Lytechinus pictus: one gene and its partner. The protein of the gene in region 2 purifies or fractionates together with the protein of the main gene of each other region. This does not show direct contact. Links are inferred from orthologs where the notes say so. Each region holds a gene or a part of one and is shown on either strand. Other genes may lie near its edges.

Evidence for each region.
Region 1: the proteins of enhancer of mRNA-decapping protein 4-like (region 2) and enhancer of mRNA-decapping protein 3-like purify together in Homo sapiens (affinity purification with mass spectrometry; 6 studies listed by BioGRID and IntAct, with this or other methods). This does not show direct contact. The link is inferred for Lytechinus pictus from reciprocal best matches to the Homo sapiens genes EDC4 and EDC3.

What each region holds. Positions count from the first base shown.
Region 1 is NC_087249.1:27,564,166-27,575,128, forward strand, and holds the start of enhancer of mRNA-decapping protein 3-like, read right to left. Parts: upstream 5,642-10,963; 5' UTR 5,545-5,641; coding exon 5,378-5,544; intron 4,650-5,377; coding exon 4,504-4,649; intron 3,944-4,503; coding exon 3,488-3,943; intron 2,804-3,487; coding exon 2,468-2,803; intron 2,060-2,467; coding exon 1,906-2,059; intron 1,271-1,905; coding exon 1,053-1,270; intron 1-1,052. UniProt on the Homo sapiens protein: Binds single-stranded RNA. Involved in the process of mRNA degradation and in the positive regulation of mRNA decapping. May play a role in spermiogenesis and oogenesis.
Region 2 is NC_087246.1:64,498,929-64,510,157, forward strand, and holds the start of enhancer of mRNA-decapping protein 4-like, read right to left. Parts: upstream 5,782-11,229; 5' UTR 5,653-5,781; coding exon 5,493-5,652; intron 2,196-5,492; coding exon 2,174-2,195; intron 533-2,173; coding exon 487-532; intron 1-486. UniProt on the Homo sapiens protein: In the process of mRNA degradation, seems to play a role in mRNA decapping. Component of a complex containing DCP2 and DCP1A which functions in decapping of ARE-containing mRNAs. Promotes complex formation between DCP1A and DCP2.

The sequences.
Region 1 (10,963 bases), on a different chromosome or scaffold from region 2:
AAACAGTGCTGCATGCGTGCAAACTTGGAATTGGCTGAGAAGCACCACTGTTACATAATAGGCTGTGTATTCAAAACAACTGAAGCGAGACCAATGGAATTTTTATAGAAGTTAGAACATGAGATGGGCTTCCTAGTTCGATACATTTCTTGAGAATAATTTTTATTTTTGGAAGTAATTTAGCCGCATATCAGAGGGCCATTTTTTTTGGGACATGCTGTACACGTCACCATTAAAGCTTGACTCAAAGTCATACTTATATCCTTGTGAAACACCCACCAGTTTGTTTGTTTGAACTGTGAAAGGCTCTCTGAAACTGATTAGGAAAGGATATACAGGTGTATATCATGCACCCACGCACCAGTGTTTGCTGTAAATTATTTTAATCACCGAAATGATAATGACTTGGCTAAAAGCTGCAGTCACATACACTGCACAAGTAATGAAGGTATAGGACTAAATACAAAATACCGGTCAAATGGTCTAGCCATTATAAATCAAAATATGAATTTGAGGGCATTTCAAGAGTAATAGAGAGCTCATTTTCTTTATTTCCCCTATTAAAATGTAATGAAGAGAAACTCAAGCTCACACATTGTTTTTTAAATATCTTTCCAACTTCAAAGTGAAACAATCTTTATCATTTCAATCTGATTAGAAAAACTCAAAGGAGTTTTCAATACTCGCAGAGATAATAGGCAAACATTAACTATTGCTGAAAGTGATAGGATAAACTATCATTTGAGGCGATATGGATGTAGCTATCTTTTCAATGTAGTATCCAATGTGAGCCGAGGAAAGAGCATCTAAAGATTCATATCCCAGAGGAAGTGATTAGTTTGTCTCATCAACAATAACTGAAACATGATAATCTACTTTATATTCTACATCAATAATACATCAACAATACAAATGCCAAATGCCTCTCGCATTCTCGACTTTGAAAAGAGGCAAGATGATTTTTTTTGTTCACAATGGGAGAACAAAAAACACTGTGGTAGTCTTCATACCGCAGGCAATAAGGGGGGGTAGAGTTTAAAAACATCATGTACCTTTGTAGCTCTGTAGTTTGAGCCCATCGGTTGCATCAAAGAGGTCCATCTCCTGCCTTAGTTCTTCCAGCATCTTGACAAAGTTGGGTACAAAGAGGGTGACTGTACACCCATGATAGGTAAGATGACGGGCGCAGCTTACCCCCTGGGCACCTTCAAGGTGGGGACCACAAAGGACTACCACTGATGGTTCCGTGGCTCTCTTCTTGCTATGTATTCTGAGATGATGGGAAAAGAGAGACAGGTAATAATCCAAAATCAAGCAGGATATGGATGTTTCTGATTATTTACAAGTTGCTTCAAGTTATTTATACCTGGCTTTTAGAGACATGTTAATCAATTTCAGGGAATAAATTTGCTTGGTAAATTTGATTGGCTATTTTGGTCATAGGAGAAAAGCTCTGAACTAAGTTCTGTAACAGTCTTATGTAAAAATCTGCTTCACAACAGTATTTTGTATAGCAGTCTTTTAAACATGTAGAGCAAATTGTGATGCGATACAACAAAAACTATACCTTGCATATTTCTCTTCAAATCAACCAATTTAACTCGACAAAACAACAGGGGATCTGAGGAGCCATTGTGGAATCCCAAATGAATAAATCCTGCATGCAACAAAGCTAGAGTGTATATCACACAACCTTTGTAAAGCAAGGTGTCGTGAAAAGCGGTGTGAATTATTCAAGGACAACATATTTGCATTACAAGTGACTGACAAGAGAGTCTTGCAGGTAAACTTTAACATTTGTGATGGACAATGGATGGATAGTGGATCCATTGCTATTGCCTTCACATCCAGTGGGACAGACAAAACTAGCATTGTGATTCAGGTAAGAACGGAACTAAGTTTTACCGTCTTTGTTTATCAAGTAGCTGTAGTGCCACCTGAGCCGCACACAGTCCAACTGATTCAAGTCTTCTCTCTACAGTATGGCCAACCTTCGTGGCTGATGACATTAGTCTGGCCTTTAACTCAGGTGATATCCCGGGAATCTGCATGTCTGTATCTGCAAAAAAGAAGGATACAAATGACGATTTACACGGAGTTGCACACAAATTGAGAAAAGCCGTAAATATATACCAAATTTGAATTCTAATGGCTGAAAATGCCATATTTGAATTCTATGGTTGAAAAAAAAACATTCAATGACCCCTTCACTTTCGTAATAGTGGAACGTTGGATGATACTGGAGTATAAGTCACATTACTGATCTTTTACCAAAGGCTATAATGTATCACTACGAATTCTAATACAGTCTATTATTTTCATCCATTTATAGACTTGCCACTGCTCTTGTTGCAGGATCTCTATACTTTGTTTCTCCAAACCAATTAATTTATCTTCTTTTGAATAAATGTTATTGTAACCTAAGAGCAATCAATAGCATATTGCATGGATTTTGTCTTTCTCTTACCTGTATGATACCACTTGCCAGTTGGGTCAGGACATGTGATCCTTTTCCCCTCTTCGGATTCCCTCCTCTCTAAAATGTTCTCATCAAAGCGAAGATTCCTTGGTCCTGGTCTCTTAGGCCGATTATCCCCCATGGCGTCCAACTCCTCATAAAAGTTCTCCTTGTCAAACAAGGCAAAGTTTGAATCAAAGTCAAAATCATCGTTGAGGAAGCTTTCCACAGGGGCACTGAAGCATTCAGCGTTGCGTGAGTTGAATCCTCCTCGGTTGTGCTTGCGGGTATTACCTCCACTGATCTTGACAGGCGATGATCGTGTGTGGTTGCTCTCGTGGTTCCCTATATCAAAGAGCAACATATCAAGTGATGCAATTAGTATCATACTTGCAATGCACACACTAAAATGACTTTCAAAGGAGATTTACTAATCAGGGATGCCAGTGACATATGACTCCAGGGCCTAATTTTTTTTCAGATGGAAAATTATGCACGCAAAGTCCCTACAGCCAGGATCCAGCTCTAGGGTTATAGATGCTCTCTGGCAATCTGAGCATATTTTTTGTATTTTATTTTCCAGCTAATCTGTGGTGGGATCAAAGGGAGAAATGGAAAACACATAGCACTTATGTTAAATTTGAAAGAGACAGAAAACTGGCATTCCTGACTATTGATTTATGCAACACTTTTGGGATCACTGTGCATTAAATCGTCATGTTGATTGCATGATTGAGATTACAAAGCACCTTCAGCAGCAAATAAGAGCATACTATGGATGCCGACTTTATCAGCAAACTACAGTGTAGGACATGAAAACAAATCACTGATTGAGATCCAGAGGTAAAAATTGTTCATTATTTAAATAAATTATCTGTTGGGGAAACATAAATATCTATGACTTTATTATTTGTTTTTAATGTGTACAAGTTGCCTGGTCTCTAAACCAGTAAGACGCCATTGGCATCAAAACAAACAAGGAAATTCCTGGCATGGTATCGCCCAACAAGAGAAAAGATGTAGTCTTACCAGAATAGGTTCTTCTCCTTCCTTTGTCTCCTCCTTGCCTGTATTCTTCCTCATCTCTACCTGCATTTTCATTCCCACCTGATCTACTAAGTCCATCCACGCTATGGACCCTCTGAAACCCTGGTCTACCAGGTCTGCCACTATCATCCCCTTTCCCTTGGGGCATCGAAAACGACGCAGAGCGCTTTGCTTTGAACCCAACCCTCCCTTTCTCCTGGGAGTCTGTTCCTGTGGTTTCATTGCGGTTTGGTGAGTGAAAGGCAGAACGCTGGCTGTGATTGAGATGGTTCTGATGTTTGTTTTTCTGTCCACCTTCTGTACTGGATTCTTTGTACGTTCCTGCAGGGGTTTTTCTGTGGGGTGATTTGCTGTGAGCTCTTTCTGAATTTCCTGATCTCCTTACTGCAGTCAGACTGGGTTTACTCAGCTCCCCATTCAGCTTGTTGGTAGATGTGTCTGTAAATTGAACAGACAGTTTTTATATTGTGGTAAACTCCTTTTCAATTCTTTCCCAATACTTAAAAAAAAAACATACCATCAATCGGAATGATCAGACGAATATCACTTTTAACATTATCTCATTAAATCATATCTCATTAATAATAATTTATTTGCCATTTTAGTCATAAACATGTTAGCAGAAGCAAATATTTTTTGACAGTTCATCATATCAATATATAACATTTGAGCATCCTACAAGTTTTTAGAATAAGTCCACAATCTGGACAATGAGAACAAATATCATTCAATAGTCAATGAAAATCAAGGCTTTTGTATAAGTAACCATTATATGATCATTTTGGCAAGATAAACTGAATTCATGTAAAACAATCAACCTTAATCCATGAACCAAAAAAATCTTCTAGACCGCATTCTAAGCTTCAAACTTCATATAAATTCTTACATGTACCCCACAACTGAATTCAAAACAGATAATACTGTAAAAAAAACTCATATACATGTACATTTTCTATACATAATAGGATTTTAAAAATAACTATGTACAATGTATGTACCTTTGTTATTAGAGATAGCGTCTCCATTTACTGCTTCAGACTTTGATTTACAGCTGACTGCTTTGATGATCGCTCTATTTTTCTCTGCCTCTGCCTTCAAATCAGCACTTGTTTTCAGGATCTTCAGATCTTTGATGTCTGAAGCTCTGAAATAAGAGTGTTTATAATCATTCTTATATATCATTCTTATACAAACCTCGCAAATGCGTACTGGGAGTACCCATTATATCATTTTACATGTTGATTCTTCGTCTAAATTCGTCTAAATTAAAAGCATCCTTTCTATGTAATGTTATTACCTCCCATAAGATCAAAGGACCATTTTAGAATGGATTAATTAATGTAAAGGACCATTTAGAATGGATTAATGTATCAATCAGTATGCTTATGAACTGTTGGAATTTCATCAAATGGTTGAGAAGCGGTATTATACCAAAAAGAAAATAAATATTTAAAGCCTGAACATGATTTCTTTTCATTCCTGCATTTGATACTGAATTTTACTATTGAATATACAATTTTAGATCACATTTTCACACAAGTGCTTTATGAAGTACACGTAAGTTTTGATTGATAATGAATTCAATCTTATAAATGAATAATCTTTAGATTTACCAGTTTACTCCATAAATGCTTTAGAATAGAATATGATTTCATGAATATAAAGTTCAACACACTCATGTCAAATGATATCAAGTTATGTTTTTTTTTCATCAACTTATATTTATAAGTTAAGTGAATCAATGGAAATAACTATTTCAAAATTTCACAAATTAATGAAAACTGCAAGCCATGTCTCTTCAAAATGTTCAAAGTCATTTAAAATAAAGTAGAGACAGAAATTTTTATTTTTCTTTAAGGTCTTACAACAAACCTCATTGTTACTTCAGGAACACCATACTTGACTCCATTCCTGAATGCATTCTTAAGAGAGATAGTTTGTCCTTTCTTGCACACAGAAGAAACTTCACCTTGGAATGTCCCTAGGACCGGCCCGCAGTCTAAGGACAGATAGTTCCCAATGAAGCTTTCACTAGCCATACCTTCTTCCAAGTAGCGATCGACAGGGAACACTCTAAATGAATTCAAGCTCTTGTAGTCTGGCCAAGAAAATCTAGAAAATATCAAAGTAATTGAATAGAAATACTGCATTACTTTGTAGTTTCAAATGTGATATTTGGAAAATATAGATACATGTATTGCCGGGTAATCTTTGTAATCCAAAGTTTTTGTGTATTATAACCCTTACTTCTAGCTGTTATTTTAATATAAAATTCCCTTATTCCTCTATAACATTGATATTACATTGCTATTATTCATAATGATCCAGACCATTTCATATTTCATAGTCAGACACAAATATATATCTTTATTGTTATTCTTTCATCCAATTTTCTATTCCCAACTTGCCACGAATTAATTCATTTTTAAAGTAGAAATATATTGAAAATCATAAAAATGAAGAATTATATATCAAATTAAAGGGGAAAAAAGGAAGAACACGATGGTGTACATCATTTATCATGGAGACCTATGGAACTCACTTAATTGATAGTTTAAAGTTCTCTCTCTAAATGCTTCAAACACGCTCAATTACGTCCGCAAAATTGGGTTTTTTTGATGACGTGTATAAGTGTACGAGAGACGTGATTGGCTCTCCCACGTAAAGCTCCACTTGCATGCAAAACCTGTTGCGAGGGTACGTTTTCTCCACACTGTCACTGAATACTTCGATCACGAAATGAAAGAAAACCCAGAAGTTTATTTAGATTTTGGATTTTCAAATTGATGATTTTGAAGATGAAGAGAATGATGATGAAGTTTCTAGCTCTAGTGACGTGGATGGAGGTAAATTAGGGGTATCACGTCTATGATGATGAGTCTGACAATTCAACTTGCATGCCGATTCGCTACCAACTCATGCAGCTGCTAGTGCAGTGCTGGCTGCACGTAGGCCTTTTTTTTTCAGAGGCGAAATTGCAATCTGCAGCTGGTTTCGCACCGTAATTTTTGGTGAGCAGGAAAGCGAGGTCAAATTGGGCGCGCCCTTTTTTGAAACTTTTGTTCCTGAGTGTTGTTATGGTCGACTATTATTTTAACTTCGAACAATTTCGGATCTTGGAGCTACTTGACATACATGTAGCCATAGAATTTCTACCATGGTGAGGATAATAGCAAGACAAAATAAAATATGTATACATAAGAAAATAATAAGACATCAATTTGTTTATGCTACTGCAGGGCTTCTGGCTCAGCGATGACTCCTTATAACTCATGTTCCTTTTTTTTTAATCCCTCAACATTCATTGTGATAGTGATAGTACTTCCTTAATTTAATATTCACACATGCAAATGTACATTGGTCATTATTAAAACCAGGAAGTTGAGAGGTAATTCCATGGAGGTAAATCCCTGTAATAGAACCATGCAACTGTATTAGCCCGCAGATTTTCATCTCACCGGAAGCATGTACCAAATCAGGTCATTTAAACACGTTTACGATCGTGATCCTGTTTATACTTCCCCAGAAACCCTGATTCTGGTCAAATGTTTAGAAACGCACCTTTTCGTAAGTTTACGATCAGCGTTCTGAAACGTTGTTTAAATGAAAGTAAGAATGGATGCAACAGTGTTTTGGACTAATCACGTATGAAAATGCTGAGTCTGGCCTGAAAAAGTGGAAGCATAAACATGCCCTTAAACATTTTAATTATATACATGTACATGTTCTAAATCTCTAAATGTATAAATATTTGTTTATTTATGTTACCAAGCATTGCATAGGCCTACATGTAGATATTTTTTACTCAGATTTTGATCTTAATTTTGTGTATGATTTGATGATTTTTGTTGTAAATTTTAAGCATAACATGAAAAACACAAAAATGTAACAAAATAAAAATATATTTTTTCTAAATAAAAATTAAAAAGTGGTATATGCCTAGATAACAATTTAATTGAATGACAGATGTTACTGACTTCAACCCATCCTCCCGCTCTGAGTCTACTTCTATATCTACTCAGACCCAGTCCCTGAGACAGCATCCCAAGGCCACTCAAACTACTCTCGCCATTATCCCGCAAGATCTGAAAATCTCGAGGGCATCTCAAACCAGTCTCCCTACTAGCCAGAATACCCAACTCAATCCACTAAACCACTCTAAACAGGATGCTGCTTGTGACCCTCCTGAGGATATGTTACCAATTCCATCTGATTGCAAATGTACCAGCCTCTCCAAGAAGCTAAGGGACACCAAGGATAAACTCGATAACATCATCTTATCAAAAGATGTCCTCCTTGTGCAGTATGAACAAGTGGTATCCAACTTACAACAAGCCAGGTACGAAATTGAGTCTCTCAAAAAGCTCCGTTCAGCAGATTCCAATCACAAGAAGAAGGCACAAAAAACAATAGCAGACCTAACATCAGAGCTCAACGGGAAGGAGAAAGAAATTGTATCGCTCTTATCCTCAAATGATCATCTTGTTGCTATCTGCCTGAACCATGACATTGATGAGAATGAACTTCCGTATCTTCTAGAGGACAAGCGTGCTACTGGACATAGCAAGGTGAACAAGGTGACACACCATATCCCTCCTTATTCTCACCTGGAAACTTCCACCACTCACAAAGTTTCTGTTGCACGCCAAGGAACCCCTGTCTCCACATCGAATCGCTTTAGCATTCTTTCAGACCACCTGAATGACTCGCTACATGCTTCCTTTGCTGGAACAGAGGAGGAACATGGCAATTCTGTTAAGCCTCATCCTGCATCTAATTACTCACAACACACACATAGAAAGTCAGGCCAAATGTCAGCTGAGACACACAGACAGAAGAAGGATGATCCTGGCTACTTCAAGAAAACTGATCAGGATCTCCTCAAGACAAACCATCTTGGACCCTTTCCTAGTGATCCTAACCGTGGAAGCCATATCAAGCCAGCTGACTCTCCTTCTCAAAGGAGAGCTTTCCAAAGCCATCCTAAGCCATTGGACCCTAGAGATTCTTCTTCTAAAAGTCAGACTCCAACCTCTACTACCAAAGTCGATGTATCTTACTCGCCCAAGAAGCGTCTTGTACCTAAGTCTGCCTCCCCTGTAATCTCAATCCATGCCCAAACTTACTCGGCGACCAATTCCTCCCCCCTGAGAGGACAGAATAAGACCTCTACTGGACTGAATGACCGTACCAACCGGGGCAACAGTACCAGATATTCTCCCCAGAGACGAGAGAATAAGATCTCCAATGCACCAGGAGTCACTCCTGCCCGGAGCAACAGATTTAGAGACTCCCCCAATAGAAGACAGACTAAATCTTGCACTGGACAAGGAGTCACGGCTACCCGGAGCAACAGATCTAAAATCTCTCCTTCGAGAGAGCAGAATAAGTCTTCTACTAGCCCAGGAAGTCCCCATCCCCAGAGCAACAGACCCAAAGATGTCATGCCACCTAGGCAGAATGCAGATACCTTTGCACCCAAAACCACTTTCATTCCCAGACTTGATCACCCTACAACACCTTGCCAAATCCCACCTCTTATGGACATCAGAATTCAGAAGAGTCCTACTTCAGCAGCTCAAACGCAAATGGCACCCATACAGAGTCGTGCTTCTACCAATACCGCAGACACTCATAGTCCTGATCTCTTTGAGCCTACCAGTCCTCTTACACACTCTACCAGCTGGTCAAGGAATCCTTCAAAAAACAGTCAAAGAGGCTCGATTACCCCAGGCCAAAAAACTCCTCTTACCAGGTTGGACAACTCCATTACCTCCCAATGTAGTGAATGCTTTGTCCTGTCTCCTACCAACCCTCTATCAGCCACTTCACCACGCAATGTCCCTTCACCTACGCCACTCCTTCATGCAGGAAATGCTCGCCGCCCCTTTGCAGTGCAGTACCCACTACTCCTACCTCCTCTCAGGCTCCCTCAAGGTCTGCTTCATCATATTAACAGCCCCCCACAAACACTTCTCTGCCACATCCCAGTAGCAGTGCCTCTGAGCGGAACCCACCACATCCTCCTCCCGCCCAACGAGTGACAATCCATGCAGCTCCTACTTCATCAATGCACCGCCCAAACTCAACCCCTTCGGGTTTTCATCAGGGCAGAGCCTCGGCACTGACACATGCATCTCTCCTAGAATCACTCCAGTTTGCCGCATCAAAAGCTCTCTACCTTCTCTCCCACCCAAACTTTCCACAGGATCAGGTCGTTCTGTCCAACTTACACGTCCTTCACCATCAAATAATCCATCTAGCTCAAAGCAGCCGGAGTGCTCTACCTCCTGCACGATCAATGTAGTCACGTTCAACTCTCGAGGCAACACCAGTAGCACTCCTTTCATCCAGCACCTTTTATGCACCTCAGATGTTACCTGCATCCAAGAGCACTGGGCAAACCAACATGGGCTCCACTCCCTCTCCCGTCTAGACTCCCATTTTCTCACTTTAGCCAAAGCACATGAAGAGGAGACTTACCCTGGCATTCCCAAATTTGGAAGAGGCAAGGGAGGTCTCGCCATCTTCCTACGCAAAGCACTCTTCATAGATTCCAAAGATCTCAAAAGCACCACACCTCGGGTTCAAGCCATCTCAACCAAGCATGTTTCAACATCAACAAACCTCCTCATCATTAACTGCTACCTTCCTTCAGGTACCTCTCATGATGAAGTGAATGAATACCATTTATGCTTGTCCACTATCTTGTCATTTTTTAGTTCCGTGGACACACGTAACCACATTAAGATTGTTGCAGGAGATTTCAATGCTGACCCCATGCAGACCTCTCCCAGGAAATGCACGGCTGACATTCTCAAGAATTTTCTTGCTTCAGAAGATTTGTGCAGTCTTACTTCACTTAGCTGCTCTCCTAGTGATTATACCTTCATGTCTGATGATGGCTCTAAGAAATCCAGGATCGATGGCTTTATCATCCCCCCACAGGATATAGGGCTCTATTCTCAACATAAAATTATTGCAGAACATCCCCTCAACTCCTCCGATCATTGTCCTGTTCTCATCACAGCAGAACTCCCTACTTCCAAGTCTCCAGCTGGACTAAAGCGCATGCCTGAGGCAACCGCTAACCATCTCACACCAATCCAGAGATACTCCATCTTGTGGCCCAGTGATCGCAATGAAATTGCTTCACTTTACACCAACCCACTGGAACTAGAAGCAGCCACCATCTTCCGAAACCTACACTCACTATCTCTGGACCATGCCACTGTGGATCTGCTCTTTGGTCGTCTTCAAGATCAGATTCTAGAGCTCTCCTTGAGACTCCCTCACAAAGCCCATAAAGACAAGAAACAAGGCAAACCAGTGTGGACTCAGGACGTCAAATCTGCCTACTCCCACTCCTTAGCCCACTGGAAGAAGTGGAAACAGGCAGGTAAACCAGTAGATGGGCACCCTACTTGGAAATCCTATTTGGAAGCCAAAAAGGACTTC
Region 2 (11,229 bases):
TAAATTATTTTTTGAGAATAAATTTTTTGTGTCATGACGGGAGATCTCTTTAATATACAGCATAGTTAGTGCCTGGCGCCTAACCAAATTTGAACTCAAAAGCCAGGCAGTAATTTGCCTTGCCAGGTGGCTGCTGCCCGGTGTTTATAGAAACCTGGTGCATTGATTGTTGTGTATGATCAAACAGATCAATCGTTAAAATCAGCCCCGCAATCGATCACTGAGCTTTGTGTTATACTGGGGGGGTGTTTCACAAAGATTTAAGTATGACTTAGAGTCACACCTAATTGCCTAGTTGCTTGCGGTATAAAAGGCATGACATTGGTCAGATCATGCCAGGTGGACGCGCACTACTGCGTTTTGATCAATAAGATTGCATATCATGTACACGTCGGCATTTAAGTGCAACTTTAAGTCATTCTTAAATCTTTGTGAAACACCCCCCTGGTCAAATAAAATTCTACTTGAGATGTCTGTGTAACCTACCTTGGCAGACTGGCTTGGCATGGCATTCATGACAGCAGGGTCACCTCTGAAAATAAAAGCGAATTGAATTTAAGAAAAGAAACTAGCTAAAGAGCAAACGAACCAGCAGCCTTTCATAGCCCCACCTCAAGTCTTCAAATACTCATATCTGGCCAGGGGGCTGTTGCATAAAACTTTTTACCTGAGAAAACTCAGGTATTTTTTACTTGAGTTTTTGCCCTGTGTTAAAGTCAATAGCAGAAGTCAGACTAACCTTAGTTTTCAGTTTTTACCAGAGTTTTCTCAGGTAAAAAGTTTTATGCAACAGGCTGCAGGGGGCTGTTTCATAAAGCTGTTAGTAAGTTCAGAGCAACTTTAAGAATGATTGGTGAACCTTTCTTATGCCCTAAACCACCATTAATTAACATTTTGGTGTCACCACTTGTGAGAAAGGATCACAATTCTTTCTTAAAGTCACTCTTAACCTACAAACAGCTTTATAAAACACCCACCATGTTTATTACCCACAATGCAACATTCTCAACAGTGTAGTCTTGTGATATAGGTCCACTTGAATGGTTAAAACACCAATTCAATGCTCAATACATTCATATCCCAATAATCATTTTATCAAGTGGCAAATCGGGTATATTTCCTCTCATAAATATTTCAGTTTATCAACAGAGATAAAATAATAGGCTAATTTATCATCTGTATCAATCACAGTTATCTCAAAAGGTATAAGACCTAGCCATTTATAACAAACAGTTAATGAGAGATAAAATGCACTCAGTTTGCTCCCCCTATAATTATATATAGCTACATGTAGAAGCATGAAAATATATTGGACCATACCAATGACATAATGTAAGAAGAGGAACTGACCTTGATACAAAATTGCATATTTGCATTACAGTGCCTTTAAGTAGAAAGGCAATGAAACATTGTATTACCTCTTTGCAAAATATATGTACATGTCTTTATGGCAGCTTTGCCATTAATGGTAGAAGACAATAATGCCCAATCCATATTAATGATTTCACTATTTTATGAGACATTTATACATGACTTTTAAATGTAAAATTAGAAGGATGAAAACCTAGCTCCACAAATCCTGTAATTCTACCCACATCAAGAAAATTCAGATTGTATACAAATAACGAATCGAGCTGAATGCATTGGTGTAAATGCAGACATATGCAGTACATTAGCTGTTATCAAATATTGTACAGTGGATACATGATGTATACGTATAAGTGATTTTATGTTGCCCATTTAATGTTGGTGTAAGTCAACATGTGAACATATTGACAGAAACTCGTACTACAATGTATGTAAGTAGTTCTGAAACAAGTACTTCATTAGTACCCATTCCAATGTCAGAAAAAATGTCTGTGAGATACATGTATTGTGCAATCTACCAGATATTATTTATCTGGGGATTCCCCTTATTCCTGGTACTTCCAGTACGAGATAACAGGAAGTGCATTAGTCCATTTGTGTAAACCCTGCATTTCAGCATTCATGAATGCTTCAACCCATTTCCACCTCTGTGCTCACTCACTGCTCATTCTGCAGAGTGCAGACAAAATGAACCATGTATTTTATATTTAATGTGCTTTGCTTGTAATTGAGGAGTATACATATACACGCAATGTATTTTCTTGATGAACTACAAATAAAAACATACATAGCACTACACACTTACCTGTTGGCTTGAGATGACAAATCTGTACAACAATGGAGGGAAATGAAAGGGAGAAAACAGAAGGAATAGATAGTAATTCAATTAAATTCAAAGTGGGAGTTTGAAAGTTAATCCAAAAATTTACCTGTTTTGAAAGTATACCATTTCTTTACAGAGTCACTTGACAATGTAAGAGCATACGGCATTCATTTTTATTTTCAAAAAGCACTTTAGCAGCCATCTAGACTTGCAAAACTATTTATGGGATAGAGAAAGTACACTGGAAAATTCTTGAATCAAGTTAGAGTTTTCATTACAAAATGTAAGGGTCTGGTCAGAATTAGGAATAGCTCCCTCTTTCAATGAGTTTTGTACAATAAAAAATGTCCATTTATCACAATCTTGGACTATAAATCCCCCTTAACCACTCAAACATGACTTGATGAATGTCACCTTCTTAAAAGAGTAAGTCACTGAGGTGTCGCACCTGTAATAATTTCCCACAGATATGGCACTAAACCAAAATTCACACAAAATAAGGATTAAATTTTTAACTTTTACCACTAGACCAATTGATGTCAGATCCATCATTCATGTGCTCTAAATATTTACCTCCGCTCTAGTCTTTTTTTCTAACCCTGTTTTGCATCATATTTACACGTATGTATACATTCTTGGTAAGAATCTTACAATTTTGAGGGTTAATGTGCATATTACTAGCTAAAAGGGCTATTCTGGAGACACAAAGAGTAGAATGATTTGATTATGTGAATATTAATGTGGTGCGCAGATTCCTAATACTTTGTTGGGTAACTATAATATTTTGTCTTTGCACATTGTTCTCCAGAGCTCCTACAATCTATATCAATATTCTATAGATCTAGATATCTCGGTGTTTATGGTTGTAGTTTAATGTGAATCTAATGAAAATATATAATTTTATATGTATTTTTGGTACCGTATTTTCCGGAAAATAAATCACAGCCGAGAATAAACCACATCCCCAAAATTGGGAAGTTAAAAAGAAAAATTGCAATCCAAATTAATAACATTTAAAATGTTAATAATTTGGACTGCAAATTATATTGGGTTAGCCAATTCCACTGAATAATCATTTAAAGATCAGAAGATACATTTCTGATTTTTGTATTTTTTAAAATGGTTATTTCATTCTTTTAAAAACTTTATTTTTCAAAGAATATTATTTTTTGTAGAAAAAAGAAAAAAGATCTTGAAATGGTAATATTGAATACAAGGTTGGCTGATTTAAATCGTGATTTAAATTGTGATTTAGATAACTTAAGATTTTTTTAAATCGCATCCATTGAAACGTGCACAAATGGTTGGCATTTTTTGTTGTTGAGGCAATTTAATTTTTTTATTCAAAACAAAAAGATTTTAACAACTTTATATCATCAAAACATAAATCCTTCATATTTACTCAGATAAATTTAAATCAAGTCAATAAAACCAGGTTAATCTTGCAAAACCAAAGATGTACATGTAGCCTTTAAGTAGTTAACACTTAGACCCCTACTCAACTAAGTAGACAACATTTTCCCTGTAAAATGTTTCTGTTGATAGTAAACAAATTTCTCGTTTCTTTAAAGGGGAATCCAGCCTTGGCCATTAAGTGTTGTGTTGGGAAGGAGAAAAACTAATTAAAAGAATGGTGAAAGTTTGAAAGAAATCGGACAAGAAATAAGAAAGTTATAGCTGCTTTAAAATTGAGATCACTATTAGTATGTAGATTTCAAATTGGCAACTGGGTAAGCAAATTATGACAAGGGGCAAGGACAACTTTCCCATAGGCCATGTACAGTATTATCAGGGATTTGTGGTTTTCTCCTAAGTACCCATTCCCCTGGGGCAGTAATCTAAATATAACCCAGGTAATATATTGTTTAATGTCCTCATGAAAGAAAAATATAATTTGAAAATAAGAATTTTGGGAAAAATGACATTTTAGCCATAATGTGTAGTGGAATACATGGAAGAGTAGTCCTTGCCTTACATCACTGTGACATCACATATGCGGCCAATTTGAAGTCTCCATGAGTATAGTGATTACCAATATTTACAACTTTTAAAAATTCATAACTTTCTTGTTGTTTGTCCGATATTGTTCAAACTTTCACCTATCAACTTGTCTGATATTTCTTTTTCTTATAAAAACAAGTTTTTATTTGGGTTGGATTCCCCTTTAATGTCAACATCAAAAAGTGTTTTTGGAGGACAGTTATTAAGGAAATATAAGAGTAAAAGGGTTATTGGCAGTTCTTCTATTCTGATCATTCACATGAACTACTAGCACATACTAGGCTTATTGCTCTCCAACATCAACAATTTGTTCATATCTATCCATACTATAGCAATGGCACTTCAGAACAAAAAATATGTAAAAATTATAAAAGAGGAATTAAAAAAAGAATCACTGAACTTATAAGGCTGAATTCCATCAGAAATTCTTTCCAGGATCGGTTTGATACAAAGCCTGTTCAGACTTTCTGTATACGATTACAAGTGCTTCATTCAGCTGGTTCACTGACGTTAGAACGTTTAATTCCTTAGAAAAGAATAATTATAATTCTTAGATGCATGCCATGGTGGAACACCGTGGAGACTGGAGAGTAGACTAATCTATGTAATCTTTCATTAATTCGAGGGGTATCAATTCTGTTGCACAAAGCAAATTCAATGAATATTAAAGTGCACATAGTCTTGACCTAAACCTGAGCCGCCATCTTGTTTCTTATTGTACTTCCCCAACGTTACGCGACGCTCGCGTTGGGGAAGTACAATGAGAAACAAGATGGCGGCGTAAACATCGGGCAAGTCTCTTCCATCTTTTCACAATATTTTTTCATTTTTTTGATGAATTCTTGTTTTAAAAATAACAACGAGAGCGTAGAAATGTTGGAAATGAAGTTTTATCCCATTTACATGAATTAGAGCTAGATCTTTTAGAAGGAAAGTAGTAATCTCGGGGGCGAAAGCTTCAGGGTTTTTTGCGGTACACGCAGATGAATGGGGAGGACTGCCTGGCTTCGTATGAGAGTAACATCACGTTAGTAAATGATTTTTACTCTCTAGAAGCCGCCTGGCAACCCCCCCCCCCCCCCCCCCCGGGTTAGAAGTAGAAGTTAGAACTTTGTCTTTGCACAATACATTTCTACTTTCTTTCTACATGAAAGTTTGAAACAATAGTCAATATCGACTAAAACGTTTTGTCCATTTATTAAAGATGTTCATGTTTAGTGTTCAAGACCATTTTGGGAGCACAGCTCGCTCCTCCTTCTCCCCAAGGCTTCATTCCCTGATCCATACGTTTCATACATACCCGACACATTTTGTGGCGATGCTCCGGATCCAGATCCAACACCCCCGTTGTTCGACTGATTTGGTTTTCCAACATTCAACATGTTCTTTAAAATTTGTGAGGCATCTCCACCGCTAAGTAGCCTGTTTAGCTGATTCCCACTAGTCGGGCCTGGCTCCATGATGAAATCAAACCCGATTTCGTCGACGCAGGAAAGCTGTTAAACAAACCCTAAAACAACTCCGAAAATTGGAGAGTCTGAGATTGGCTTAAGTTGTTGTGTGTGTATCGTATACGGTACATGTACTGTAGCGCTAGCTAGTACTCATCTACCATGCATAAAATATAGACAACATACACGCGCGCAGCTAGCTCGCACGAGATAAACTGACTGAGCAAAGACACTAATATGACTGAAGAAAAAGCATCATGGTATCCTATTATTCTATTTTCCCTTTTTTCCGCTGTTGAGACAAGGATCGGAATCGGGGGGGGGGGGTGCAAAATAATCAGATAAGAGAGCAAGACAAAATGGTAAAATGTCAAATTTTCCCATAGCGATCCCTTGTTAATTCATGTAAGATTCTCTTTTAAGACTCCATTACCCCCCTTCCTTCTTGGTGCAACGCGGCCATGAGCCCGGGCCATGAGACCCGAGGGGCCATGATCAAGCGATGACCCCCCCCCCTTCTTATCTCCTCTCGATCGCATTTTCCTTATGATACAAACTTCAAGCCTGCATTAAAAAGTTCAAAATGTGTTTTTTTATTATATTCTATTTGTTATGATTGAATGACCCACTTTCACTTGACGATATCTATTTTTTTCAGTTGCCGTCTATGCAACATTTCGTTTTCATCATAATTATTATTTTTTCCTGCGAAAGTTAATATTATCCCTTTGTATTTCTAAATTCTAAATTATTAAAATTCATCATATACTGCAAAGTATTTACCCCCCCCCCCCTTAATAAAAAAATCATGCCAGACCACTTAAAGAGACCAATTAATGGAATTCTTAAAGGGGAAGTTCGATCACCCTGGCGAAAACTTTGTTGTAAAAATAGCAGAAAAAAATAATAATAAGTGTTTGGTACTGCAAAAGCTCCAGTATGTCCGTTTTTAAGGTTATTTAAAGATGAAAAAGATAAAAATATTGGTGAAGGTTCGAAGAAAATCCATTAAAGATTAAGAAAGTAATTAGAATTTCAAGTTTTGGATATGTGACGTCATAAACGAACAGCTGCCCCATATCAAGAAAAGAAAGGAAAAAAGTAGGGAAAGAAGAGAAAGAAAAAAGGGGGAAGAAAGGGAGAAGAAAAAAAAAGGAAGGGGCGCCAAATTGATGTTCTACATAGGGGGGGGGGGGCGCGCCGAATCGTTGTTTTACTTAGGGGTGCCGAATTGATGTTCGACCAAGGGGGCGCCGAATTTATGTTCGGCATAGGGGCGCCGAATTTATCTTCAACCCAGGGGGCGCTGAATTTATATCCGACATTGGGGGCGCCGAATTATTTTTTACTTAGGGGCGCCGAGTTGATGTTCGACATAAGGGGCGCCGATGATTGATCTTTAAACTAGGGAGGAGCCGAATCGATGTTCTGCTAGGGGCGCCGAATTTATGTTCGACCTATAGGAACGCCGAATTGATGTTCTACTATAGGGGCGCCAAATTGGAGTTTGATATATAGGGGGCGCCGAATTGATGTTCTACCTAGGGGCGCCGAATTTATGTTCAACATAGGGGCGTCGAATTGATATTCTACGTAGGGGGGGGGGCGCCGAATTGATGTTGCGCCTAGGTGCGCCGAATTGATATTCTATCTAGGGCCGCCGAATTGGTGTTCGACATAGGGGGCGCTGAATTGATTCCGACCTAGGGGCGCGCCGAATTTATGTTCGACAAAGTGGGGCGCCGAATTGATGTTCGACCTATATAGGGGCGCTGAATAGGAGCACCAATTTGATGTTTGTCCTGATGCGCCAAATTCATGCTTAACCTAGGGAGAGGGCGCCAAATTCATATTCGACCTTTGGGGCACAATTTGATGTTTGTCATGGGGCGCCAAATTCACCAAATTCAAAAGTGCTTAGAAAGTTCAAATTTTAGGTCAGAATATCAAAAATTTTCATCTCTTTCTTTGTGTTTGTATCAAGGTGACGATCGATCTTGTTAAAGGTTAGATAAGTGCTTAAAATGTCCAACTTAGGTCGAAACATTAAACAATTTAAAAAAAATTACCTCGCGCTTCGCGCTCGCATAAAATGCTTTGTTAGATACTTATCCCGTTCATGATTACCAATAGTGCTTAGAATGTCAAAATTTTAGGTCAGAATATCCAACATTTTCAGCTCGCGCTTCACGCTCGCATGAATAAAGATACTCATCCTGTTCGTGGTTACAAAAAGTGCTTAGAATGTCCAGTTTTGGATCAGAAAAGTTTGAAAATTCTAAACTCGCGCTTTGCGCTCGCATAATATGATTTGTTAGATACCCATCCTGTTCATGATTACCAATAGTGCTTAAAATGTCAAAATTTTAGGTCAGAATATAAAAAATTTCCTGTTCGCGCTTCACGCTCCCATCAATTATAAAAATAACCCATCCTGTTCATGGTTACAAAAAGTGCTTAAAATGTCCAGTTTGGGGTCGGAAATTAAAAACCCTAAGATCCTGTTAATGGTTAGATAAGTGCTAAGAATGTCCAACTTTGGTCGAAAAAATAAAATAATTTCAGCTCGCGCTTCGCGCTCACATAAAATGTTTTGTTAGATACTCATCCTGTTCATGATTACCAATAGTGCTTAGAAATAATGTCAAAATTTTAGGTCAGAAAAAAAAAAATTTCAGCTCACGCTTCACGCTCGCATGAATAAAGATACCCATTCTGTTCATGGTTACAAAAAGTGCTTAGAATGTCCAGTTTTGGGTCGGAAATTCAAAAATTCTCAGCTCGCGCTTTGCGCTTGCATATTATGTTGATATAGATACCCATCCAGTACTTGATTACCAAATATTCTTACAGATTTTCCGAATTTCGCACTCGCATCCATGGGCGGAAATCCAAGGGGGACAGGGGGACGTGTCCCCCCTACTCAAAATAGTAGGGGGGACACAATATCAAATGCCCCCCTACTATTTTTGGTCTTTTATGATGGCAAGAAATACATCATTCTAAATCGAAATAAAACATGTATTTTGGGACGAGATGACCTTACTTTGGCGATGATAACCTTTTTTTTTGCTTGTCAAATTTCCCGCCCCTTGTCCCCATAGGCGGATCCAGGGGCCGAGGGGTCCGCCCCCCCCCCCCCCCCCTCTTGGCGGAGCAATAAAAGAAAAAAGGGAAAGAAAGAAGGAAAAAGGAGAAAAAGGAGGGAAAAGAGAGGAGAAAAAGAAGAGAAGGACGACGAGTGCATAAAATAAGATGAGGGGAAGACTTGGAAAATAAAAAGAATCTTTCGTGCCACTATATAAAATTTTCGTTCGCGCTTCGCGCTCGCATTGCATGTTAGATGATTTACATATCTTGTTCAATATGGAATTCGAATATCAAGTTTGGAAGTCAATATACAAAACATATTTCACCTCGGAAATCGAACTTTCATTATTTTGTGTAATTTACAAATTGGTTTTTAAAAAGTGCTCTGTAAAAATGTCAGTTTTATGGTCCGAATGTTAACATTTGCTGCTTGCGCTGCGCGATCGCAAATTTTGATTTATCAGGTACCTATTATTTTCGTGTATTCCGTAAAGTTTTCAAAATATCACTTTTCAGGTCTGATTGTCAAGACGTATCAGCTAGCGCGCTGCACGCTCGCATTTTGATTGGCGAGTTATATAAATGTTTCAATATTGATTATACAAAAACTACTTAAAATCCCCTTTTCATGACAGTTTATCAAAAATTTTAGCTCGCGATTTGCGCTCGCATTAATGGTAAAAAATATAATAACTGATGCATCCTATTCATAATCACAAAAGTTAAATGTTCAGTTTTTATGCCATGATATCATCAGATTTCACGTCCTCATTAGGCATTAATAAATATGATATTAATTTAATAATTAAATTGTCCCTTTTGTTTCATCTCGCGCTTAGCAAGAGGAATAGGAAGATCATTTTCATATGATGACATGTCGTAAGGATGTCCCGGTCCTATGTCAAAACTCAAAGTAATAATAATATCAGCTCTTTTTTAAATGCGATCCATATCCACCTTACAAGTTTTCTACAAAGTGCTTGAAATATAAAGCTGAAATTGACTCTTTTTTCAGATCGGAATATCAAAGGTTAATGATTTTCATGATTGAAGTTGTATTTAGAATGCCTAGATTCTAGGTTTAAATATGAAACACGATCGCGCATTTATTCAGATACTCAACTTGTTCTCTAATTTAAATCATTATCCAGTTTCAGATCACAATATCAAAATTTTCAACAGGTACCAGTTCAAAACGTATATTAAAATTTTCTGCTCGTGCTTTGCGCTCGCATTATTAATACTCATCCTTTTCAGGATTTACAAAACATGAATAGTGTCTCGTTCAGTAAATATTATAGAACTAAATTTCGAAATTTTTCTGCACGCGCTTCGCGCTCGCATTAATTGTTTACTTATACACCTATTCTGCTTGGGTTTACAAAAAGCGCTTAGAATTTCCATTCTTTAGGTGAAAATGTCAAAAAAATTCAGCTCGCGCTTCGCGCTCGCATTATTTGATTGTTAAATGCTACTTTAACAGGCCATCTTTTCCATCAGTTCATTTCTGCTCGCACTTTGCGTTTGTAGTAATTATTAAGTTGCATACACATCTTTTTCAGGATAACAAACATTGCCCAGAATCAGTTCAAATTTTAGGAAAAAATACATAAAATTTCCAAAAAAAATTGCTCGCGCTTCGCGCTCGCATCATATAAATAAGGATTATGATATTATATATTAATTTATAAGAATAAAGCTAAGAAGTGACTAATGAGGACTACCCCTTCAAAGAAACAAACAAAAATCATCTTCGAGCTGCCGATCGGGGAAAATATGGCTGAAACAAATTTCCGCCCCCCCCCCCGGCCTATTGGCGAAGGCTGGATCCGCCCCTGTGTCCCCCCTACCTTTTGGGAGAGATTTCCGCCCCTGCTCGCATCAATTGTTTAGATATACGTATACCCATCATGTTTACGGTTTTAAAAAGTGCTTAGAATATCCGATCGGGAAAACATAAAGATGAAAATATTTTTCCACCCCAGCAACCCTAGAAGTGAAAGTTGGATCCACCCCTGGTAAAGAAACGTCAGCTCCCGCTCATACAATTTTAGTAGGGCCTACTCTGATGAGAAGTTGAAACCCCAAAGTGCTTAAAATTCTATGCTTTCAGGGGGCCGTTACATAAAGCTGATCGTAAGTTAAGAGCTAATTTAGAAGAACGACTGGTGATCCTTTCTTTTTTAGAGCTTCTTCTGTCTTGTGTTGGGTTGGCAACCAGTCAGAAAATGAATATTTTGCCATTGCTTTGATTTGGAGCCTTCTTTGTGAGGATGGAAAAAATTTTCCCTTCATCCTTTTTTTTCTATTTTACTTTCTCTTTTTTTTCCTTCACATTTTTTATCTCCTTTTGATTTGTTTTTTCTCTTCATTTTTTTCTCCTTCCTCTTTTTCTGTTTTTTCTTCCTTTTTTTCTTTTTTTAACCTATTTTCTTTTCTTTTTTCTGTTTTCTTTTATTTTCTTATGCTTTTTTTCCTTTTCTTGTTCTTGTTCTT